7 linked regions of the Sus scrofa genome follow. The protein of the gene in region 1 interacts with the protein of each later gene in a biochemical or structural test. Links are inferred from orthologs where the notes say so. Each region holds a gene or a part of one and is shown in the gene's direction. Other genes may lie near its edges. The genes, in order: UBC, USP2, UBL7, UBE3C, USP13, MINDY2 and UBQLN1.

Region 1 (2,208 bases):
GTCCACCCTGCACCTGGTCCTCCGCCTCAGAGGTGGGATGCAGATCTTTGTGAAGACCTTGACTGGTAAGACCATCACCCTGGAAGTGGAGCCCAGCGACACCATCGAGAACGTCAAGGCGAAGATCCAGGACAAGGAAGGCATCCCCCCAGACCAGCAGAGGCTGATCTTTGCCGGGAAGCAGCTGGAAGATGGGCGCACCCTGTCTGACTACAACATCCAGAAGGAGTCCACCCTGCACCTGGTCCTCCGCCTCAGAGGTGGGATGCAGATCTTCGTGAAGACCTTGACTGGTAAGACCATCACCCTGGAAGTGGAGCCCAGCGACACCATCGAGAACGTCAAGGCGAAGATCCAGGACAAGGAAGGCATCCCCCCAGACCAGCAGAGGCTGATCTTTGCCGGGAAGCAGCTGGAAGATGGGCGCACCCTGTCTGACTACAACATCCAGAAGGAGTCCACCCTGCACCTGGTCCTCCGCCTCAGAGGTGGGATGCAGATCTTCGTGAAGACCTTGACTGGTAAGACCATCACCCTGGAAGTGGAGCCCAGCGACACCATCGAGAACGTCAAGGCGAAGATCCAAGACAAGGAAGGCATCCCCCCAGACCAGCAGAGGCTGATCTTTGCCGGGAAGCAGCTGGAAGATGGGCGCACCCTGTCTGACTACAACATCCAGAAGGAGTCCACCCTGCACCTGGTCCTCCGCCTCAGAGGTGGGATGCAGATCTTCGTGAAGACCTTGACTGGTAAGACCATCACCCTGGAAGTGGAGCCCAGCGACACCATCGAGAACGTCAAGGCGAAGATCCAGGACAAGGAAGGCATCCCCCCAGACCAGCAGAGGCTGATCTTTGCCGGGAAGCAGCTGGAAGATGGGCGCACCCTGTCTGACTACAACATCCAGAAGGAGTCCACCCTGCACCTGGTCCTCCGCCTCAGAGGTGGGATGCAGATCTTCGTGAAGACCTTGACTGGTAAGACCATCACCCTGGAAGTGGAGCCCAGCGACACCATCGAGAACGTCAAGGCGAAGATCCAAGACAAGGAAGGCATCCCCCCAGACCAGCAGAGGCTGATCTTTGCCGGGAAGCAGCTGGAAGATGGGCGCACCCTGTCTGACTACAACATCCAGAAGGAGTCCACCCTGCACCTGGTCCTCCGCCTCAGAGGTGGGATGCAGATCTTCGTGAAGACCTTGACTGGTAAGACCATCACCCTGGAAGTGGAGCCCAGCGACACCATCGAGAATGTCAAGGCGAAGATCCAAGACAAGGAAGGCATCCCCCCAGACCAGCAGAGGCTGATCTTTGCCGGGAAGCAGCTGGAAGATGGGCGCACCCTGTCTGACTACAACATCCAGAAGGAGTCCACCCTGCACCTGGTCCTCCGCCTCAGAGGTGGGATGCAGATCTTCGTGAAGACCTTGACTGGTAAGACCATCACCCTGGAAGTGGAGCCCAGCGACACCATCGAGAATGTCAAGGCGAAGATCCAAGACAAGGAAGGCATCCCCCCAGACCAGCAGAGGCTGATCTTTGCCGGGAAGCAGCTGGAAGATGGGCGCACCCTGTCTGACTACAACATCCAGAAGGAGTCCACCCTGCACTTGGTCCTGCGCTTGAGGGGAGGTTTCTAAGTTCTCCCTTTTAAGCTTTCAACAAATTTCATTGCACTTTTCTTTCAATAAAGTTGTTGCATTCCAAAATAGTGTGATTTATTTTTAAGTGTCTAAGGAGGATTTTTTTTTTTAGGTCGGGTTGGGTATAAGAGATCAAGTGTTTTCAGTCTGCTACATAATCTGTGGTAAACAGGAGGTAAGAAATGTCAGTAAAAGATGGTTTTAATGTAGAACTGTAGTGGGTGAGTATAAATAAAACCCAGACTAGTAAGAGGTTGCAGAATTATTCATATGTACTCTTCTATGTAGATTTACTTGTAAATACTGGATGTAGTATCTGAGAAGGGGAAGTTTCTGCAGTACCAGCCAGGAGAAAGAATCAAAAAGAGGGTGGGAGTGATGGGAACCTATGGAAGAATCAGGGTTAGTATGTAAATCTATTTAAATTCACTTTGAACTGTCTGGAAAGTCATTTGACCATTTTTGAAAGAAAGGCTCTGGCATTTGTTATTAGAAAAGTCTCATTAGGCATTACATTAGAAAGTTTTAAGTATTAGTAGAGAAGATTATTGGCTCTTAACTGTTGC
Region 2 (4,202 bases), on another chromosome or scaffold:
AACTAAGCCCCCCCCCCATGGAGGATGGTAACTATGTAACTACCAGCTGAGACCCTGGTCTGAAACTAAGGAATGATGTTGACCTTTGCTGACCCTCATTGACTTCAGTCAACTAAAGCTTGGATTCTGGCAACCTTTGCCTCAATTCTATTGTGAATTCTCTTTGGCTCAAGGCCCTTCATGAATATGCATGCACCCTTAGCTTTAAACTTCCCCAATTTTGCTGTTCCAGGATACACTGCTTGGGGAAAGACACCGCCGTGCACACGCGCGCGCGCGCACACACACACACACACACACACACCCTGCCCCGGTGTTCTTCTTACTTGCTACAAGTAATAAATTTTACCTTCTTCCAATCTTTGGCTTGGTTGTGTCTTTTGGCTTGAAGCCCACCAAGAGGTGAACCCAGTTTTCAGGTAACACTAAGGAACAATTAAAGAGTTGAAATCCAGAAGGGATTTGTCCTGGACAAGAAGCGGGACACTTCTTTCACTGCTCTTGGAGCAGAGGGAACACTGGATTTGGATATATTTGTAGGAAGAACTTTAAGTGTTTTCCTCCTGATTGCTTCTAGTTTCTCTGGGAAAGAGAAGACAAGAAGGGACTTCAGAGTGATGATGGGCAGAAATACCAGCCTTGCATAAGAACAAGAGAAGCAGCTAAGGGCACGAAAGGATTGATGGTCCAGGTGAAATTGAAAACCTGGACTTGCCCCGGCACCAATCTACATGGCTATGCGGTTTTCTTCACCACCGCAGTGTAAGTAGAGAAAGGTTATACACAAAGAAAAGGAGCGGCAAAAATTCAAATTTCCTTTCGGCTTTTTCTGAAAAGACAAAAGAGAATCCTTCCATTGACTCAGTGCCTCCGTTCACCCAGTCAAGGGGTCATCACTAATCACTGGTCTCCTGTTACTGAGTGGAGAGTCTTAAAGAGTAGAGAAAAAAGAGAAGAGGCAAAAAAACAGGTCCGCTCCTGGTCGGGTGGGAAGGAGAGGAACATTTAGCCTTCCCTAAATACTAAAAGCTGCTATATATGCCCTGGGACTCAACTTCTGACCCTTCCCCCCAAGACGCTTCCTCTTTCCCAGTACCTTACACCTCTCCCGTCGTGCCACATTCTTGCCGCATTGGGACCCTTCTCGTTGTGCTCCACCCCGCCTCCAAACTCACCTTTCCTTCACGTGGCTCTCTGTATATATCGGTCGCCTGGGAGACCCTGGCCGGGCGGAGTCTAATGACGCCACAATAGCAAAAAGCCAATAGCCGTGATGCGTCTCAGTGACGCGAAACGCGGGGTGTGACTTTGACGGCCCCGGCGCAATGAGGCAGCTGCCCGCTGGGTGGCGCCGATTTCCCGGGGAGGTCCTCTCTGGGCCCCCGGCGGAGGTGGGGGAGAGGCGGGCTGGAGCGGAGACCAGGGAGCCCTCTGCGTCAGCTGCTGCTCACTGCGCCGCTCCAGTACCAGTCAGGACTCACCCGCAGCTCCATGCTTGTGCCCGGCTCGACTCGTCCATCCTCGGAGAAGAGGCAGGTACCTGCCACCTGTCGGATACTGGGGAGGGGTGATGCGGAGGGCAGTGTTGTTTGAGGCTCAGAAAGTGAGGTGCCAACGACAGGCTGGGCAGAATGGGCACTAGAAATGTAGGGCGAGTTCCAGCTGCGCTGAAGATCTCCAGCTGTGGGTACCAGTTGTAGGGGGGAGGGGGGGCACCAGCTGACAGCCCAGGGTGCCAGGAAGAGCCATCTGTGCGCTAATCAGTGTGTTCTACGGAAACGCTGCTTGGGCAGGTCCAGGTCTCTGAGCCCTGGGTGGGATGTGGCTGAGAGTGACGCCTGGACACTGACAATCCTTTCCCCACGTGTGCGAGCAGCTCATTTACTCCCTCTGTCAAAGCTCCTGGGGGCTGTCTCTGGTCGGTTTGCCAAAGGGGGTGGGGTGGGGGGAGGGTAGCATTTAAGTGGAAGGGGAGATTTTCCACCAATCCCAAACCAGAAAGAGGCATCTTTGAAATCTTCACCAATCCCAAACCAGAAGCAGGCACGCGGTGCTCTAAGGCTAGTAACTTATATTTAACAGCCAAAGGGAGCCCTGGCCAATCCATTCTAGTTGTCCTCTAAGGAGTGAGCATCTACCTCCTGACCTGGCTGCTCTTCGAATGGGGCCGAGTTGGAGATCCTGCTGCTGCTCGCCTCCCCAGGCACAGGCATGAGAAGGTCCCCCAATGAGAACCCAAGGAAAAGGAGAGCTGGTTGAGCTGGGGTTGGATCAGCCACCCCTTCTCTGATGCTGTAGATAATGTCAAGCCGGGGTCGGAATGAGGACTGGAATGAGGGCCGGGGACAAGGGCGTCCTCTGAAGTGCATCATCAGGACCGGAGCTGAGTCAGTAGCCTCTGCTGAGACAGGGTGGAGGCCCCATCTTGGGTACTCCCAGTCCTCAGGGAGAGCCATCGAGAAACAGGCCAGACAGACTGGGAGCAGACCAGAGCACCAAGAGCCGAGAGGTTAAGAATCCTGCTCCTTCCTCCTGTGACCCTGCCCAGCCAGCCCCACTCCTTGGGCTCCGGGATCCTGAGCACTCCTACAGGTAGAGTGGAACTGCCCCAGAGCAGCTGGGCTTGCTCCCGGGAGCCCCGGGGAAGCTGCACTTGCTGTATTTTTCTAGGCAAAGGAGGAAGGAGCCCAAGAGGGCCCGGCCTTTTGCCGGTGGGTGGACTGGACATCTGGGAATGGGGCAAGCCTCGTTTGCCTTGCCACTTATGGGACACAGACCTGCTCAGAAAACCATGGCATTAGAACAGCACTCCCGCGGGGTAGCCTGGAGGCCCTTTTCTCCCTAGCCAGGTTCCCCCGAGGGTGCTACTACAAAAACTACCTCTAATTATAAGTGGAAGTATTCAATATAGTAATAATTACCATTTATTGAGCTCTTACTAGGTGCCAGGAAATTTACAAATATTATTTAATCCTCACACCTGTGAGGTATAACATTATTATTATTATTATTCCCATTTTACAGACTAAATAAGGTTCAGAGGGCTTAAGGGACTTGCCCACCGACTTAGAGCCAATAAAAGGGAAAGAAAGAATACAAGCCCAGGCTTAGAAGTCCATTATAAATGAGAATGGCCTGGGAACCTGAGGAGGTCTCACCTGCCTTTGTATCCGTGTGCCCTTGAGCACGCTGCTGTCTGCCTCTAGGGCTCTTCCATCTCAAGAGTAAAGCAGGCAGACAAGCACTGAGGCTTCTTCCTCTCCTCCAGTTTTGTGACTGGCACCTCCTTCTCCATATTTTTGCCTCCATTCCACCCCCATCCCTCTACCATCTTTCCAGTTCTATTTCCCCTTGAATCCCCCTTCTGTCCCATTTCAAAATCCCTCCCTTCAAACAGTCTTGTAGGATCTTGCCTGGCACGGGCCCACCTCAAGGGAGGGCCTGCCACTGCCCCTTTAATTCTGCCCAGGCTTGGAATGCCAGTGAGTGGAGCTAGCCATCTCCGTGAGGTCAGATAAGATACTATATATATCGGAGTCAGTAACCTGAGCTCCGGATTACCCGGCCCCAAGTCAGACTCCTGCCTCTGGGCTCGCCACTGCACTCCCTGCCCTGCTGGGGAAGGAGAAGCCCCCAGATCCCATCCCGTGTCCCTGGACACAGGTCAGTAGCTGTCCCTTTGCTATCCAAACTTCACAGGGCTGTTGTCCAGAGGGCCCTGGACTGTCTGTTTGGGGGAGCCCTGTCTGTTTGGGGGAGCATGTGAGAGGCTGCCCCACCTGGCCTGGTAGGTGCTATGAGCAAGACCAAAGGCTCAGAGACCAGGAAGAGGAGAGGAAGCCCTAGAGGAGAGAGGGAGCCTGGGGCTCTCCTGTGGGGTGGGGGCACCCAGAGGGAGGTGGTTGGAAAAGAAGACCTGAGGACTCCAGTATTGCCTGGGGGCCTATATCTTTGCCTTTTCTTGGAAGTGTAGCAATGCCCACCCCCTCCCAACCCCAAATCAAGAAGCGCCCTCTAGAGACGCCACCCTCAGCCCACCCAGCTCTTCTCCAGGCAGGATTCTGGCTCTAATCTCTGGTCTCTTTATCTAACCTCTTTGCCCCCTCCGATCCCTTGGGCAACTACTGGGATTGAGAGAGACTGAGAGGGGCCCCAATCCCCTTGGATGACCCCCTTCCAAGGCATCTGCAACTGGTGGGTCA
Region 3 (3,965 bases), on another chromosome or scaffold:
GTGGGTTAAGGATCTGGTGTTGCCACAAGTTGCAGTGTAGCTTGCCAATGTGGCTCGGATCTGGCGTGGCTGTGGCGGGGGCTAGGCCACAGGTGCAGCTCCATTTCGACCCCTGGGCTGGGGAACTTGCATATACTGCAGGTGTGGCCATTGAAAAAAAGAAGAAAAGTGGCTCCCTTAATTGATTGGCGAGGCCTAACACCTGCGCAAATACAATCCACTCTAACCATGCATCTAAAATACAGTTGGTGCGGCCTTAAAAAGAAAACAACAACAACAACAATAAAATCAGTTGGCCCCTCAGTATCCGAGGGACAGGGCATTCGGGAATAGGCAGGGCAGACTATATGCCATTTTGCATAAAGTGAGTATCCGCGGATTTGGTATCCGCGGGGGGAGGAGGAGGTGCAGGAAGCAATGCCCCGCGAATACCTAGGGACGACTGTATGCATTTTCTATGAGAATTCAGTGAAAATTCCCCTCCCCGAATTGATTCCATTAATGACCTGGATAAATCCCACCATCGCATACTGGGGCGGACCAGGAACCCGGTTTGCTAACTCCTAAGAACTGACTTTTCGAGGAAGTCATCATTGGGTTCCTGGTAAGCCCCCACAGGGAGGTTTAGTCGGGAGAATCCAGAGGCGAGGGTCACAAAAGAGGCTGACTTCACCGAGGGCAAGTCGTTTTCTGTGAGGGCTGCAAAGAACCGCTGAGGAGTGTCTGAAGAAGCTGCTCGGGAAAGGGCCCTCCCAGAGGGAAAGGTTGGAGCATTTGGGGTCCGCAATCAGGCCGAGAGCCCGGCAGCGGGCGTTCCCACCTGTGACGCTGTAAGGACCTGGCGTAACCTACGGACTCTGCATGCGTCCCAGGACAGTGCGGGAATCACCGGGCAGTACACCTCACACCAAGCCTTGCTCTTACGACCCAAGAGACCCACACCCTAGAACACTAACAATTTCAGTACCCTCTGAGGCGAAAGCACCCAGAGACCCTCGCGCCGTAACTTTCAAATGGTCGCGAAGTCACACCCTCCCCGGAACCGGAAACTTTGCAACTAGCGCCTCTCGCCGGCAAGCTGCTTATAAAGGAGCAGGAGCCGCAGTAGGAACTGCAACTCCCAGAATGCAGCGCGGAGCTTCCGGTTTCCGGCGAGAGGACCTGAGTGAGTGTTTACACGGCGGCCCTGCGGCCGGGTTCCTTCCGCGGGACGGGTGAGGGCGCTGGGTCCCGGGCCGCGCGGGCTCAATGCGTATTGACTAGTTCGCAGGTCCCATGGGAATGGTGGGGTCGTCACCCAGGAGATAGTATTCCTGTCCCAGTATTAACTGTCAGTGACCTTGGGCCACTGATTTCACTTTTTTGAGCCTCAGTTCCTTTGTAGTACGTAGATGATAATGCCTGCCTCGGGGTCCATTTGAGAGGATTAAATGAGATAGGGTATATTAAAAGACCTATTTCCTTCCTGTTTAAAGGCAAAGATGGAAGGTTTTGAGGGTGCCCTGGGGTCTGCTGGACGGCCTCGAAGCCTTTCTTTCCTCTTCCAAAGAAGCCACTTTGGAAGCAATATTGATTATAACAGTGGCCTGGCTTGCCTTACAAGATTCTTTCTCATAGTTTCAGATTCATTTTCTAGGCACCCATATGTACTGGGCATTGGGACAACAAGGACAAAAAATTCTAGTCTTTGCTGTCAAGGGCCTCTACGAATGGGATGCGGGGAGATTGAGATGTAAACAGATGTTTGTAATCCTTTGCCATGAGAGAATGTGAGAACAACAGAGGGGAGGGAGGGAGGACAGAGAGGTTGTGTTTGGGTTGGTCTTGGTAGGAGTTTGCTTAGAGACTGAAGAGGGAAGAGGAATTACATGTAGAGGAGTTAGCAGATGAGCAGAGGTATAAAGTGAGGAGAACTTTGTTGTGAATCCAGGCTTCCTGAGGATAGACCTAAGTGTTGGGGAGGGTGGGGCAGCCCAGAGCTCTTGGGGAAGGCGGTTGTCAGAGAGAAAAGGTGTGAATGGTTTTGAAAATCAGGCTGTGGCATTTAGACTTATTCATAGAGGTGGTTTGGATTCATTGGAGGGGTTCTAAGCAGAGGAATGACTTGATCGGATCTGGTTTTAAAACAAGTTGGCTGGCAGCATGGATATTTGATAGGGAGAGGCAAGAGGCTGTTGTAGCAGTTAAAGCAAGAGATAATGAAGAGTGTACATAGGGGAGAGGGTTGGATGATCTCATTTGAATCTCACAACATTCCTGTTAGCTGGGATGGCATTTTTATATCTACTTGAAAGCCAAAGAAACTGAGGCCTAGAGAGCTGAAGTTCCTTGCTCTCTGTCATAGGATGAGAGAGGACCCCAGATTCTAGTTCTAGCTTCCTGATGCTGCTTCCTAGGCTTTTTCAACAGTGTCACACTGAGTTATCTCTCATTTAGCCCCTTGGTGGGGTGGGGCTGGTGTAGAGTGATGGTCTGTCCTTTAACCATTAAGGCTTTGTTCCTTTCCAGGGAGAAAGAGAGAGCGCGAAAGAGAGAGGATGTCTCTCTCAGATTGGCACCTGGCGGTGAAGCTGGCTGACCAGCCACTTGCCCCCAAATCTATTCTTCGGTTGCCAGAGGCGGAGCTCGGAGAATACTCACTGGGGGGCTATAGTATTTCATTTCTGAAACAGCTTATTGCTGGCAAACTCCAGGAGTCTGTTCCAGACCCGGAGCTGATTGGTGAGTCTCTGTGGACTGGGGTTGGGCTGCTACTCTGATTTCTTTTTGGGGAGAATAATTCTGGAATTACAAGGGTAAATTAAGAGTTTGGGACTTGTTGTCTCATAATGTTAACACTCCAGGGAAGTGATTGTTGTTGGGTGAATAGAGACACAAGTCATATAACAAAGCTACTGGTTGCCATTTTAGTTGTACATTATACTCAGCTGCTTTATCACAAAGGTCTTTAACTATGACATTATTGAATTCTTTCTCTGAAAGAGCAAGAATTTAGGATGGGAAAGAGAAGCTGGTCAGGGAAAGACCCTCAGTATATGGCATTTGAGGTGGGTCTTCGGCATGTGTAGAAGGATGGTTGGTTGGTTAGAGAGAAGGCAGTGAAAAAGGAAGGAAAGGTGGCAAGGGCTTTCTAAGTGGAGGAAGACTAATTACATTATAAATAAACATAATGGTATATAAACTGAAAAATGGTATAAACTGGCAAAAAGTGTGTTTTCAGGCATAAAAAATACTGGGTTCATCCTTTTTTATTTTTGGACTTTCCCACTCCTTTAAATTGAACAGTCTTCATGATGTTAAGCTCTAGAGCTTTCCCGCATATAGATTCTGTATTTTATCAGTTTGTACCTGCTATTAATTGTTATTAAAACGTACTTATTAAATAAGAGTACTGTTTAAAGCATGTATCGTGTATTATTTTGAGGAGCAAAAGATAAATGAACAGGTGTTTTTTTGTTTTGTTTTTTTTTTTTTTAGATCTCATCTACTGTGGCCGGAAGCTCAAAGATGATCAGACTCTTGACTTCTATGGCATTCAGCCTGGGTCCACAGTCCATGTTCTGCGCAAGTCCTGGCCTGAGCCTGATCAGAAACCGGGTGAGAGATTGTTGGCTCTTAGACAGGCAGCGTTTCTGTAATATCTACAAGGGCAGGAGGATCTGTGTGTTCTTGAGGCAGAGCCTGAGTGGGACAAAGGACTGATTTACTGAGATGATAATAGAGGATGTCTTTATTACTTATTGGATTAGACCATGTTGATAAATAGAGCGTAATTCTGGTCTTCTTGCTGCCAGCACCACTGATAGAAGGGGATTTGTTTCTCTACTTTTAAGTTCATTACCCACTGTTCTAATAGGATGGGGAGTATGTGTCTGTTTAAACTCCTTTAGGGCAACAGTTTATTTCTCAGTGGACTTTGTATCTTTTTGTTATTGTTATTGTTCTCAGTAGAAAAAAAGCTAGAA
Region 4 (2,160 bases), on another chromosome or scaffold:
GGGTTAGGGATCCTGCCGTGGCTGTGACCTAGGCCTCAGCTCCTGCTCGGATCGGACCCCTAGCCCTGCAACTTCCATGTGCTGTGGGTTTGGCCCTAAAAAGAAAAGGAAAACCTCATTTGGGGCTGTGCCTGTTAACGGAGCGCTGCCGCCCGCTGTCTTGCAGGAGCTGTACCCCGCGTTCTGCATCCACAACGGCGGCTCCGACCTGGAGCGGCTGCCCACGGCCAGCACCTGCATGAACCTGCTCAAGCTGCCCGAGTTCCACGACGAGGCGCTGCTGCGGAGCAAGCTGCTCTATGCCATCGAGTGCGCGGCAGGCTTCGAGCTGAGCTGAGCCAACCGCGCCGCGTCGCCCGGCCCCGGCCCCGGGCCCCGACGGAGAGGGCGCAGGGCCTCCGCGCTGCCCGGGCCGAGGAGGGCGCCCGGGCCGACGCCCGGAGCTGCCGCGGGCCTGTCTCCCCGCCACCCCCTCCCGGCATTTTTTTAGTGATTCCTTAAGTTGTGCTCACGTAGAGGGTGAAGTAAGTTAAAAACAGATGTATGTGCCGCGGGGCTCACGTAGTCGTTTTGCCAAGAAGAGCACAGTTTGCAGACGAGTGGCGACTCAGTGAAACTAACCAAAGACGAAGCTTTGGCTCAGCGGAGCCCCGGGGCCCCTTGGAGCCGCCCCTGCTCCCGCTCCCGCTCCGCTGCGGGGCGCCGTCCGGAGGGGGGAGGCGCTCCCTCCCAGCGCCACTGCTTCTCGTGTGATTGAATTGTTTACAAGCCGAATTGTTAGACGAAAGGCATTTTCTTTTCCTGCTGCCTTTTCCCAAAGTGGTTAGGTTTGGAAAATAGGTAACAATGGTGATCTTTTATTTGTGTTTTTAAGCCATCTCCCCACCATGGGACTAGCATGCTTGTTCCCGGTGTGCCCCCGACCTGCATCATGATGGTTTGGACATTACTGTGCGTGGGTGTGTGTGTGAGGTGGGCCCTTCCTTCCTTTTCCATTTCCGCCTCCACTTTGTGCCTGGAGAGCTTTCAGGGGAGGGGGGTCTCCGTCCAGTCCCTGCGGCGTGTGTGAGACCCGCGTGAGCGATGGCTCGGGGAGAGGCCACCCGCAGCACCGTCTCGAGTCACTTGAACCAAAGTGGCGCTGCGCCTTTGCACTGCGGCCGGCCCGCCAGCCCAGCCCGCCCCGCCCCCGCCCCCGCCCCCGCCCCCGCCCCCGCCCGGCCGCTGCGCGGGGAAGAGGGCGGGGCTGCGCGGGAAGAGGGCGGGGCCCCACGCGCGGCGCGGGGCGGGGCGGGGCGGGTTGGTGACTCTCTGGGATTCGGCACTTTATCAGGAGCTGGGTGGTTTCAGACTCTCCAAGCGGAGGGTGTTTGAACGCGTCATCTGCGAGTGCAGGGACCCTTTGCTGACGCTGGGGGCGCCAAGAAAGCAGACCACGGCTCTTCTGCGGCTGGGGTTTGGCTGTCCCTGGAGCTCTGGGCTGTCCCGTGGAAGTGACCAGAATTAGCAATATGCTTTTAAATGTGGGGAAAGCGAATGACACTTTTAAGACAATGACCATTATCAAAACAAAATGTATAATTTCTTAATTTGAACAATAAATTAAGTGTTTAAATGCTATTTGTAGTCTTGATATACAAAAATAAAATAATTAGGGTTTTGTCCTTGGTTTTATTTTCATTTTAGGTTTTCTGTTGAATGTTCTAGGTCTTCTCTGCTTAGTAGTTGATCTGTATATTTTATTATCAGTCTTTTGGAAATGAAATATCTGGGACTGAAAAGAAATGGGCAGTTACACTTTGGGGGTTTTTCCTCAGTCATCCTGAGCGTATTTATTTATTTGTATGTTCCAGTGGCTAAATATTTGCATTAATTTTTTCCCCCAAGTCTGTGTTGGAGTCGTACCCCCAGTTGTAATTAGTTCTGTTCTGCCCCAGTAAAACCATGACCGGTAACCACTGAGTTTTCCATGGTTGTTTGAATGTCAGTTAATACAGGCTGATTATTCAGAGTCACATACGCCAGGCAGTCCTGTGTGTTGCCTGAGCTGCACTGACAGAGGCTTTGGGGAGGTGGACGCGTCACCGCCCTTCCCGCACAAGCTCTGGCCAGGGCCAGGGCCGACCCAGGAGTGGCTGTCACCTCATCAGGTCCCAGGCG
Region 5 (4,123 bases), on another chromosome or scaffold:
ATTTAAAAGAGCGGGGCAAGAAAGGGCTCATCCATCTATCTCACATCAAATTCCAGGTATCATCCTTTCCTGATCGAACCCGCAGCCACAGCTGTAATCAGAGCCATAGCAGTGACACCTCCATATCCTTAACCCTCTGAGCCACGAGAAAACTCCCAGAAATCAGTGTTTTGATTCACTATTTCTCTGTTAACTGGCACTTATCACTGGTACTCTGTTCTTTAGGTTGGGTGTAGTTAGAGAACCTCAATGGAATTGAATCTTGTTTTAAGAATTTTTGGGAGAAAATGAGAACATGCTCTGTTTGCAGATTATTCACACCCCCCCCCACATAACCCCACTTATTTTTTATTTTGAGTAACTGGACTTGCAAGGCAGGGAAGATGTATGTCTGCACGTAAGATCCCAAATCAGTAAGTTGAATGATTGACACCAAATCTCGCGGAAGACGTCTGAAAGATAGAGAAAAATGTAAAATTTCCGTGCCCCCGAAAATAATCTTGACACTTCCTGCCCCATACGTTAATAACAATCAGTATTACTGATAAAACATACATCTGTCCTTACTGGATCCTATTTTATTCTCTTTTAGTGAGTTTTAGATGTTAAAAAAAGTGTGGAACAGGAGTTCCCGTCGTGGCGCAGTGGTTAACGAATCCGACTAGGAACCATGAGGTTGCGGGTTCGGTCCCTGCCCTTGCTCAGTGGGTTAACGATCCGGCGTTGCCGTGAGCTGTGGTGTAGGTTGCTGACGCGGCTCGGATCCCGCGTTGCTGTGGCTCTGGCGTAGGCCGGTGGCTACAGCTCCGATTCAGCCCCTAGCCTGGGAACCTCCATATGCCGCGGGAGCGGCCCAAGAAATAGCAACAACAACAACAAAAAAAGACAAAAAGACCAAAAAAAAAAAAAAAAAAAAAGTGTGGAACAAGCCTTAGTGAAATTAACACCGAAATGCAAATCACAAATTTAGATTTGGGCCCAACTTGGGTTCCCGATCTGCACCTCGAGTGCACTCGGGAGTAGTCCCCGCTGTTATCTTCGGCTGTTTTTAAAAGCTAGCGGTTTTTCAAACCTCAAACCCTGCTCTTTGTGTTGGCTGCCTCGGAGATGTCCCTTTGCAACCTAGCGATTTAGAATAGAAAACACTGCGGTTGTGCCTCAAGTCCGACTCACGACTCCCGAGTCTGCCCGCCGGGGCTCGCCCTCCACCCCCGCTCCTAGCGCGGCCACTGCTCGAGGCCCCTCTCCAGCGCCCCCTCCCCGCGCGCTGCGGCTGGCGCTCCCGAACGCCCCGCCTGACGCTGCAGCTGGGCCGGCGATTCGCCATTGGATTAAAAATAGCAGCGTCCCCTTGGCCAGCCCGCCCCAGGCCCCGGGTGCCCGCTCCCGCCCCGCGGCCCGCTCTCCCTGCCCGCCCCGGCTCGGCTCCCGTCGCCCGCGCAGCCCGCCGCAGCCGCGGGCAGACCCAACGCTCCAGCTCGGCTCAGCTCCGCTCCGGTGCGCGCCGCGGCCATGCAGCGCCGGGGCGCCCTATTCGGCATGCCGGGCGGCAGCAGCAGCAGGAAGATGGCTGCAGGAGACATCGGCGAGCTGCTGGTGCCCCACATGCCGACGATCCGCGTGCCCAGGTCCGGGGACCGAGTCTACAAGAACGAGTGCGCATTCTCCTACGACTCTCCCGTAAGTGAGGCTCGGCGGCGCCGGCGGCGCCTAGCGGGAGGGTGGCGGTGCAGGCGGCCTGGGGCAACAGCGAGCAGCCGAACTCTCCTGCACGTGAAGCTGGGGGGAGAAGATGCGCAGTGGCAGCCGGGGACCTCCTCCTCTGGGCGGCAGAGTTGGCCCAGAGGCACGGCGGTTCTGCAAACACTTAGTGTCTACTAGGTGCTGCGCACTGCATTCCCAAGGCTCCTCAGCCGAAGACTGGGCACCTGGGAAGGTTTGCTTCTCCAACCTTAGGCTGACAGGGCCCGGATTCGTAGCAGCCTGACCCAAGCCCCGCCGACGTTTGAAACGTAGATCGAATCGAAGAGTTCCCTGATCTTAAGTGTACGCTGCAGACGGTTTGCGTTCTCTTTGGTGGGAGAGCGAAGGGCTGGTAGGTGGACCGGACTGATTCCCTCTGAACGAATGCAGCCCTTCTTTTTCTGGGACCGTTTGCTTTGCCCAGGGATTCCCACTCCTGGACAATTATGATTTCCTCTCTGAGCGTTTCTCCCTCCACTTGAAATTTCTCCCCACTCCTTTTCTTTCCGTCAGAATGTCAGAAGACACCTTTGGGTGCTTCCACTTGGGCAGCAAAATAGGGGTCTGCTGCATTATTACGGTTTCCTTAAGCCTGTCCCCTTCCTCCTCTGAACGAATTAGTTTGACTGAAATGCACTAGTATAAATTATTAAAAGTTCAATCGCGAGTCGTGACCTCAGAGACTGGAGTGGGGAGTGAAGACGCATCACCGCCTTCCACCCAGGGCGGTTGGTGGTGTTTTTCACTAGGTTGCATGTGTATGTGTGAAAAGGAAAAGGAGGGTGAATGTCCCTTTCAGGAGTCAAAATGGGCATCAAAGTGACTCAGCTGTCTGGCGTTTATCATGTCTTTTTGAGGACCAGGTTATTTTTATCCACCCACTTTAGAGCTCATGTGTCACCCGGCAGATCTAAATGCAAACAGGAGGTGCATGGATTGGAAGGACTGAGACAGGTTTCACAACAATAGTCTAACACATTTTACTCATGTTTTGTATTGTTGGATGAAAAGAAAAAAACCCAATGGTGGCAAAATGTTCCAAAGTATTCATTATTATTTTGTGAGTTGATTTTGACTGATTTCACAGCTTTTTTGTTTTGTACACATTGGAGTCCCAGAGTTAGTATCCTCTCTGTGACATTTAATTTTTTTATGCCAATTCCAGATCATTTTGGGGATAAAAAATCTCACTTATTTGTTCTTCACTTTTTTTTTTCTTTCAAAAAAGTCTGTGTAGAGTGGAATAAAATGGTTAATTTCATTTAATAAAAACAAATTTAATATTTCACATATTGTGATCACACTGCTTAATGTGACTGTCAACAGAGTCTTTCAGTCCTGTTATCCACAAAGTATTTGAAAATGCCATTTTCAGATTTTATGTCCAATGTTGGGCAGGTTCCTACTAATAGCTTCTGACGGTGGAGAGGGATAACCCTAACAAACTTAAGCTATTGGTAGAATGTGAACTCCAGAAAGAAAGTGGATAAGGTACATTAGGATAGCACAACGTCTGAAGTGGGTAAGACTGCTTTTTTTCTATGTTTGATCTGGGTTACTCTTAAAATGCTTCTTACAAACTTTGTTATTGAAAGTCTTTTTCACTGTATATAGTGTATGGCAGGTAGGGAAAAAATCTGATTATTTTAATTTACTTCCACAAATAGTTATTGGGAGCTTACTGCATGCCAAACGTTCTAGAAGCATCTTGTCCAGTGTAAACTGATGATTTCATTCACAGTAGTTCCTTGGGGGAAAACTGGGCTTATTTACAAGGCTGATGAATCAGTGTATTTCTTTATCTGTGTTTCAAGGGAGGAAGAGAAAGGTTTTATAACAAGTTATATTAAAGCACAGTGCATGATAATTTGAGACCTTTCTCAATGGTACTTACCTAACACTTCATCATGAATCCCATAAGTGTTCTTGAGCACGTACTATGTGCCAACTCATACATGCATGGCTGTAAGAACAAAATCTATTGGTGACAAACACAGCAGAGACTTTAATCCATCAGTGCCATAGGACTGTGGTAGAGAAAAGGGCAAAGCCATTTGAGTGGAGAAAATAGTCATACTTGCCTTGAATACTTTTGAAAATGGTCATAGATAAAGATGGATAGAAATAAATAGAAGACCAGCATTTTATGCCAGGTAAATCACATGCACAAACACGTAAAGTGTGAATATTTTTTTTATTTGCTTGTGATGTATTTGGAAGAAAAAGACTGATTTCACAAGCAATGAGGTCAGAACCAAGTAGAGAGAAGATGGGGGACTTGAATACCTGCGTATAGGATCTTGATTTCATACAATCAGTTATGGAGAGCTACTGTGAGTAATGTGATTTGAAGTGGTGCTAGAGGAGTTACTTTCATGGC
Region 6 (3,500 bases), on another chromosome or scaffold:
AGACAAGTACATATTTGAGATCTATCTTGGCTAGTCAAAAAAAAAGTAGAAAAGAGGGACTCTTGAAGATACCATGCACTGGGTAAAGAGTAGGACTCTAATAAGACACAAAAGCCTTAGAGCCCAAAGTAAGGAGGAACAGACAATTTATCATAGGAGCACTACTGAGTAGAATTCTTATTTAGAACTGCGATAGATGAGATTTTTGCCTGCTCTAGGTGAGGAGGCCTGGAGCCACAAGTATGTTTATTACTAGAAGTATAACAGTGATGTGACACTTTCTTCAACTGAGGGGGAAATATGGTTATGTTAAACAGTTGCCACATGTTTTGCTGATAACACTAAGTGCATAGAGACTGTTAATTTAGCCAGTGTTCGTTAAGCACTTGTATTCCTGGCACTATAACTAGGTCCTGGGGACACTAAATCATTCAGTCCTGTCCTCAAGGATTCTGCAGTCTAGTTGGAGAGGCAGGTATTTGACCAACTAATATTTTATATTAAGTTCTATAATGACAATTTGAATAGCAAGTTATAAGTAGACAAAGGAATACTTGATTCCAAAAATGCTAATCTTTCTAGGACTCTTGGCTTTCCTTTGACAGCTATAATTATTGACACACTCACTTTCCTTCAGAAGGTATACAGGGGCATTTTTAAATATTAAGAGAAATGTACAGGATTCTTCTAAATACCTTAGATAAAAAATATTGGTGCAAAGGGAATGAAGTAAAGCAATAGTTTGCCACAGTGTAAGATGATGAGAATACTGAGAATATTGATATTATCTATAAAGGTATCAAAGAAGGGACTTGGCAAAGAGTGGAGTTTATAGAATTAAGGAGAAAAATTTGAAGGACAAATTCTTTTTTTCTTTTTTTTGCTTTTTAGGGCCACACCCACAGCATATGGAAGTTCCAAGGCTACAGGTCAAATTGCAGCTGCAGCTACCAGCCTACGCCACAGCCACAACAACGCCAGATCCCAACCGCATCTGCGACCTACACCACTGCCCACAGCAATGCTGATCCTTGACCCAGTGAGCCAGGCCGGGTATCAAACCTGCATCCTCATCAATACTAGTAGGGTTTGTTTCTACTATACCACAACAGGAACTCCTGAAAGACAAATTCTTTTTTTTTTTTTTTTTTTTTTTTTTTTGAACTAATATCTGAGTGAGCATCATTTGCGGGAATTTTTTTTTTTTTGTCTTTTTTGTCGTTGTTGTTGTTGTTGCTGTTGCTATTTCTTGGGCCGCTCCCGAGGCATATGGAGGTTCCCAGGCTAGGGGTTGAATCGGAGCTGTAGCCACCGGCCTACGCCAGAGCCACAGCAACGCGGGATCCGAGCCGCATCTGCAACCTACACCACAGCTCACGGCAACGCCGGATCGTTAACCCACTGAGCAAGGGCAGGGACCGAACCCGCAACCTCATGGTTCCTAGTCGGATTCGTTAACCACTGCGCCACGACGGGAACTCCGAGAAAGACAAATTCTTGATGTCAGTAAGATAATCATTATAGATAGTACAAGGTCTTCACAGGCAAAAACCTCTTATATATCTTCTGTGGTTGTTTAAAATTCTCTTACTTTGAGAGTATATAGCTTCATAAAAGTGGATATTAAATGGATGTGCGTATATGTATATAACTGAACACTTTGTTTTATAGAAACATAAATCAACTATACCTCAATAAAATTATCACTACATTGTAAATCGACTACATTATAAATCAACTATACTTCAATAAAACTTTTAAAAATGAGAGAAGAGAGTGGATAAATTAGATAATGTAACTTTTAACCAAAGAGACATCACTTTCTTTCATAGGAAATAATCTGGGTGTGTGTGTAGGAGGAGGAAGAATGTGATTAAGTAACTGAATATGATTTTATGATGGGCAGCCATGTTGGCTTTAAAAATCATGTTTTGAAAGAATATTTAGTAGGAATACCCATCGTGGTTCAGCAGTTAACAAACCCAACTAGCATCTATGAGGATACGGGTTCGATCCTTGGCCTTGCTCAGTGAGTTAAGGATCCAGCGTTGCTGTGAGCTGTGGTGTAGGTCGCAGACACAGCTCGGATCCAGTGTTGCTGTGGCTGTGGTAAAGGCCAGCAGCTACACCTCTGATTGGAGTCTGGAAATCTCCTTATGCCTCAGGTGTGGCCCTAAAAAGACCAAAAAAAAAAAAAAAAAAAGTAAATAATTTTGCGAAGTTCTTGTAATTTTATTAAAATAAGACTTTTATGACACTAAGTGGAAAAGAAAACATTGTGATAGTTTCAGGGGTTGGGAGATGTGTTTGAATTTGTATCTGAATATAGAAAAAATGAAGTGGACTGTATATTGTTAACAATGGTTGCCTCTCTGTAAAGATATTATGGTTATCCTAACTTTCTTATTTATGCTTTTTTTATTTTGTCTCAATTTTCTATGGACATATTTTTTAAAGCTTCCTTAAATGCCTTATATACTGCTTCTAGAAAGTATTTCAAATAAATTTTTAAAATATTTATAATAATGGCAGCATCGCTGAAATGTTTATAACTCCCAAACAGAAATAAATAACTTGTATTTTTGTATTTAAGCTCTTGTGTGTTTTTTAAAAGCCATTCTCAGAGGCTTGCAGATGAAGTCTCTATATTTACACATGCAAGTTCTTGGGTAAATCTCATAGCTAAAGATGGTTATAATGTAATTTCTTAGGACTATCTTATGGCATTATCTCTACAACAAGAACAGCAGAGCCAAGAGATCAATTGGGAACAAATACCTGAAGGAATCAGTGATTTGGAACTAGCAAAGAAACTCCAAGAAGAAGAAGATAGACGAGCTTCTCAATATTATCAGGAACAGGAACAAGCAGCAGCTGCTGCTTCTGTTTCTGCTTCTGTTTCTGCTTCTGTTTCTGCTTCTGCTCCTGCTTCTACTTCTGCTTCTGCACAGGCCCAGGTAAAAACTAGTGTTCTGATTCTTAAATACAATGATCACTCTAGCAATAAAAAAAAATTTGTTCTGGGATTAAAACATTTTTAAATTAGATATTGACTCCTCAATTCTGTTAGCATTTTAGCATCCGTGGGTTTTATGACATTGTTCTAAATTTGTGATTATCTTAATATATTTCTCATTTAGTGAAACTTTTTTCTGAGGTTCTGATGGCAAGATTTTTCAAAATTTTTGGAGTTCCTGTCATGGCTCGGGGAAGAGAATCTGACTAGCATCCTTGAGGACACAGGTTTGATCCCTTGCCCCACTTAGTGGGTTAAGGATCTGGCGTTGCCATGAGCTGTGGTGTAGGTCGCAGACACGCGTCAGATCTAGTGTTGCTGTGGCTGTGGCGTAGGCCAGCAGCTACAGCTCCAATTCAACCCCTAGCCTAGGAACCTCCATATGCCATGGGTGCGGCCCTAAAAAGACAAAAAAAAAAAAAAAGATTTTTCAAAATGTTTAAGTTCTTAGCAGCTTCAAAGACTACAAACCAATGTGAACAAA
Region 7 (4,001 bases), on another chromosome or scaffold:
CTGCTGTGCCACGACAGGACCTCCAGCTCTTATATTTGTTTCACCAATCATTTAACAAACAAAAATTGTTCAAAAGAATATGCCTCAGACACCCTGTGGCCAAATCAGATCCTAGGCCTGTTTTTGTAAGTAGTTTTACCAGGACACAGGGAGGCTTAGTTACCCATACACTGTCTGCAGTTGTTCTTTGTTACAAGCACAGAGCTGAGTATTTGAGATGGAAAATGTATGGTCCACAAAGCCCGATACAGCTACTATCTAGTCTTTCGATGGTTTCTTACAAGGTAGAGTTGTATCCAAAAAGGGCTCTAATGAATTACTTAACTACATAGTCTTACAGATAAATTCTATTACTCCATAAATTGAGCATAGTCATCAGAATTTTTGTAGAAATTGATGTAGATATAAATAATTACAGAGAAATTTTTCCTAAGTGTAGGGTTAGAGATAAATGATTGGTTTTCCAATGGCAGAACTTTCCACCTTGACAAGTAATGATTACCTCACATCCAGACACAAACAAACAGTCATCTTCTAGCAGAGAGCCTTGTGTAACTTCTTCATGCTATTATTGAACAAGCTGCCAGGAATGTAGCTGATATCAGATGATGCCTATGTTGCAATTTACACTTTGAGAGCTCCTCTTAGACCGAGATTCCAAAGGAGCTCTGCTAAAAAGTGGTCTTCATGTAAGAGTACTTATAACCAGAACAGAGTTGGATGGCTTAAGAACAGAAATACAGTACGTATCCTTGCATATTTGGATCATGGTGGGGTGTCAGAGTTTACACTTGTGCAATACTGGTTAATAAAGTTCATGTCCTGTGTTGTACATTCCTTTGCAAGTCATCTTCAAAGGCAGATGATAAGTTCATTTCAAATTTAGAATTCTTTAGAGGGAAATTAACTTACTGTTTCTTATTTGTACCCATGTTTCATTGAATATAATCTTCGAAACTTTAATGCCACTTGAAGTCTGAAATGAAGCAGTAACTTAATTTGAAAGAATATAAAATGAACACCTGAGCTTCATTAAATTGTCCCAGTTGGGTGGGCACTTCTTGGGTACTCTGCTTGTGCCACAAACATTTGGGGGGATAGTATTCAGAGAACTCCAGGATGCACTAGCAGGGTTGTCAACGCAGGAGAGGCCACTGTCAACACAGGTGGCCTGATCACCTGACCAAACGGGACTGACCCGAGGGTGGGAAGCTCTGGCCATGGAGCAGTGACTCCGCGAAACTGCGCAAGGTGGCTACAGGCATGTACTCCATTTTCCTTTTCTTAGGACGAGGATTTTTTTCCTCCATTAATTCATAATTCAACTCTCGCGCACCGGGCTATAAGAGCAAGTGTTTTAAAGCTTCCAAGTGGGTAAGAATCAAGCACATTTAAAATCAACGAAACACCTTGCGGGCATTTGTTCTAGACCCTCCTCGCAGCAGGCTACGCAAAGCAGGTACGGGAGCTAAGGGGGTGCGCACCGCCACCGGGGGGAGGGGGGGTGTAAGGTGAGGGGGTTGGGGAAACTACCTGGCCCACCAGCGCGCACGCGCATCTCCAGCCGCAGCGCCCAGTGGTCGATACCCCTTTCCAGTACTTTCGCTAGCCGTGACGTCATCCCTCTGCGCCCTTTCTGTCTCCCCGAGAACACGCGAGTTTATTTTTTGGTGAAAGGGGTAAAAAGAAATGAACTGACCTCTTCTACCCCACTTTGTTTTTAGTCCTTCATTCTGAACGCGCCTACGCTTTGAGCAATGGAGCAGGAAAGGGCAAAAAAGCCAGCCAGAGTCCCAAGCGGCGCCGGCCTGGCATGACTCGGCTACGTCTCCAGCCGCGTTACCCGGCGTGCCCCGCGCGGCGCCGGCAGAGGGACGTGGGGGGGAGGGGCGGGGAGGAGGAAGCGGCGGCGGCGGCTGCGGATGTCGCTGTGAGCGAGCGGCATCTGAACACACGGCGGCTGCCGAGCGCCCAACCCGGGCCTGCGCCGGGGTCCACGCCAAGCTTCGCGGCCCCTCGCCCGCTAGGACAGCCCTGCGCCCGTTGTCACCGAGGCAGCGTGCCCCACATTCTCCGCTGCCCAGGCCGGCCGGCTCTGGCGTCGCCTGGCTCCCCCTCGTTCGCCCGCTCCCTCCTGCGCGCCTGAGTCACCGCCGTCGCCGCCATGGCCGAGAATGGTGAAAGCGGCAGCCCTCCGAGCTCCCAGGACAGCGCCGCCGCGGCCGAAGGTGCCGGCGCCCCCGCGGCCGCTGCCTCCGCCGAGCCCAAGATCATGAAAGTCACCGTGAAGACCCCGAAGGAGAAGGAGGAGTTCGCAGTGCCGGAGAATAGCTCAGTCCAGCAGGTGAGGGCCGCCCTAGGCTCGGGGCGTAGTGGGGATGGCGGCAGGACCTCCGCCCGCCGTGGGAGGAGACGGTTTTGCAAGGGTTTGGCGGTGGTGGGGGTCGTCCCCGGAGGTGCCCTCATCCTTTCTCCCGCGTCTCATCCCAAATTCGATCACACCCAAGTTCGTGGGTTTGCTCCTGGGGGCATCGCAGGTTTGTGGCGGGGGCCGCGCGGCCTTTTTGGGGGATGAACAGATGCTGCTTCTCTCGGCTCCTTCTTCGGGCGTCCACAGACCCCCAGCCTCCTCCTCCAGCTCCCCGCCCCCAGCCGCCTCCTTCTGGCTCCTCACAAAGGAAAGGGACCCGCCGCCTGGCTCCGGGCGGGGTGGAGTCTGGGTTAGGGTTCGCCTTAGCCTAGTCTGCGATTTTGTCTCGTGAAAAAAAAAAAAGGGGATGCTCATTGTTTTACCTGCCTACAGGTTAAGGTGGATTGGGGGATGACGAGCACGTGTACATTTGGTTCTGCGTTTTGAGTGCTGAAAATTTTCCCATCTTCCAATCTTTAAAGAAAAAATTAACTATGACGTAGAAATTGTTTTCAGCCATATCTTAAGTGCTAGTACTAGGCTTAAACAGAAGAGGGGATGACTTTCATTGACGATTTGCTGGTCTTTTTTTAAAGTGTATTTGTCATCGCTTAGATGCCAATCATTGGGGAGGTTTTTTGTTTGATTTTAGTGGGAGAACTGCGTTATTCAGATATTAGCGTATGCAGTCGGATAACAACGAAATTGGAGTTAATGGAGAACATGCAAATATGCTACTTAAAATCTGTTCAGGAATACAAATCCCGCAGTTAATAGTCTTGAGGAATTTAACACATTGTTTTAGCTTATTGAATATACGTCTCAGGATATTTTCTACAATTATTGAGTTGATCTCAGCGTGAACAGTTTATGAAGAAGCAAAAATTACTGAAACGTACTTGTGAATGTCCCTAGGAACAATAAATGATTAGGGCATTTGTATATATAATTCTGAAAGGTGTTGTGTTTTGTCAAGTAGTAAGTAGAGTGTGTAGCATCAAGTGAGAAACTTTGACCACCTATTGAATCACCATATTTTTTTCCCTCAATATAACTATAAAAAATTTCCTTAACGTTTTTATGTTTTCTAGCATACAGGGAAATTGAAATAATTGTGCAGTGAACACCATGTGTCCATTGCCTACAGTTAGTATCTAGCTTTATTTGCTCTGTCATACAATTAATTTTATTTTTTCGGATGCATTTCAGGGTAAGTTTTAAGCATTAGTACATGTTACTCTTAAAAAGCACTTTAGTAATGTGCCTATCATTAACCTGAATTCATTTTTTTAACCTAAATTTTTTTTAGTTAAATTTGACTTGCGGTGAAGCGCACAATTGCCATTCCATGAGTTTTCCCACGTACATACACCTGTGTAATCCGAAGCCTTATCAAGTTGTAGAACTTTATAATTGACTAGGAAATTTCCCCCTTGCCCTTTCCCAGTCAGTTCAGTGACTCTCCTCCGTTAACCACTGTTTTGATTTCTTCCATGGATTCATTTTGCTTTTTCTAGAATTTCACATAAGTGGGATTATTGGGTATGTACTCTGAGTAAGGCTTTTTCTTTCAGCTTAGTGTTTTTGAGAC

Evidence for each region.
Region 2: of the proteins of UBC (region 1) and USP2, one has a biochemical effect on the other in vitro, tested with the Homo sapiens proteins (21 studies listed by BioGRID, with this or other methods). The link is inferred for Sus scrofa from reciprocal best matches to the Homo sapiens genes UBC and USP2.
Region 3: the proteins of UBC (region 1) and UBL7 form a complex in vitro, tested with the Homo sapiens proteins (6 studies listed by BioGRID, with this or other methods). The link is inferred for Sus scrofa from reciprocal best matches to the Homo sapiens genes UBC and UBL7.
Region 4: of the proteins of UBC (region 1) and UBE3C, one has a biochemical effect on the other in vitro, tested with the Homo sapiens proteins (5 studies listed by BioGRID). The link is inferred for Sus scrofa from reciprocal best matches to the Homo sapiens genes UBC and UBE3C.
Region 5: the proteins of UBC (region 1) and USP13 form a complex in vitro, tested with the Homo sapiens proteins (9 studies listed by BioGRID, with this or other methods). The link is inferred for Sus scrofa from reciprocal best matches to the Homo sapiens genes UBC and USP13.
Region 6: the proteins of UBC (region 1) and MINDY2 form a complex in vitro, tested with the Homo sapiens proteins (5 studies listed by BioGRID, with this or other methods). The link is inferred for Sus scrofa from reciprocal best matches to the Homo sapiens genes UBC and MINDY2.
Region 7: the proteins of UBC (region 1) and UBQLN1 form a complex in vitro, tested with the Homo sapiens proteins (13 studies listed by BioGRID and IntAct, with this or other methods). The link is inferred for Sus scrofa from reciprocal best matches to the Homo sapiens genes UBC and UBQLN1.

What each region holds. Positions count from the first base shown.
Region 1 is NC_010456.5:28,259,064-28,261,271, forward strand, and holds the end of UBC (polyubiquitin-C), read left to right. Parts: coding exon 1-1,639; 3' UTR 1,640-1,708; downstream 1,709-2,208.
Region 2 is NC_010451.4:46,587,555-46,591,756, reverse strand, and holds the start of USP2 (ubiquitin carboxyl-terminal hydrolase 2), read left to right. Parts: upstream 1-1,402; 5' UTR 1,403-1,532; exon of another isoform or gene 1,533-1,536; intron 1,537-3,543; exon of another isoform or gene 3,544-3,663; intron 3,664-4,202. UniProt on the Homo sapiens protein: Hydrolase that deubiquitinates polyubiquitinated target proteins such as MDM2, MDM4 and CCND1. Isoform 1 and isoform 4 possess both ubiquitin-specific peptidase and isopeptidase activities.
Region 3 is NC_010449.5:59,069,592-59,073,556, forward strand, and holds the start of UBL7 (ubiquitin-like protein 7), read left to right. Parts: upstream 1-1,165; 5' UTR 1,166-1,214; intron 1,215-2,508; coding exon of another isoform or gene 2,509-2,537; coding exon 2,538-2,721; intron 2,722-3,477; coding exon 3,478-3,597; intron 3,598-3,965.
Region 4 is NC_010460.4:1,541,954-1,544,113, reverse strand, and holds the end of UBE3C (ubiquitin-protein ligase E3C), read left to right. Parts: intron 1-166; coding exon 167-337; 3' UTR 338-1,660; downstream 1,661-2,160. UniProt on the Homo sapiens protein: E3 ubiquitin-protein ligase that specifically catalyzes 'Lys-29'- and 'Lys-48'-linked polyubiquitin chains.
Region 5 is NC_010455.5:117,698,757-117,702,879, forward strand, and holds the start of USP13 (ubiquitin carboxyl-terminal hydrolase 13), read left to right. Parts: upstream 1-1,323; 5' UTR 1,324-1,512; coding exon 1,513-1,680; intron 1,681-1,786; exon of another isoform or gene 1,787-2,095; intron 2,096-4,123. UniProt on the Homo sapiens protein: Deubiquitinase that mediates deubiquitination of target proteins such as BECN1, MITF, SKP2 and USP10 and is involved in various processes such as autophagy, endoplasmic reticulum-associated degradation (ERAD), cell cycle progression or DNA damage response.
Region 6 is NC_010443.5:113,178,762-113,182,261, reverse strand, and holds part of MINDY2 (ubiquitin carboxyl-terminal hydrolase MINDY-2), read left to right. Parts: intron 1-2,711; coding exon 2,712-2,957; intron 2,958-3,500. UniProt on the Homo sapiens protein: Hydrolase that can remove 'Lys-48'-linked conjugated ubiquitin from proteins. Binds to polyubiquitin chains of different linkage types, including 'Lys-6', 'Lys-11', 'Lys-29', 'Lys-33', 'Lys-48' and 'Lys-63'.
Region 7 is NC_010452.4:31,274,715-31,278,715, forward strand, and holds the start of UBQLN1 (ubiquilin-1), read left to right. Parts: upstream 1-1,201; 5' UTR 1,202-1,459; intron 1,460-1,699; exon of another isoform or gene 1,700-1,724; 5' UTR 1,725-2,164; coding exon 2,165-2,344; intron 2,345-4,001. UniProt on the Homo sapiens protein: Plays an important role in the regulation of different protein degradation mechanisms and pathways including ubiquitin-proteasome system (UPS), autophagy and endoplasmic reticulum-associated protein degradation (ERAD) pathway.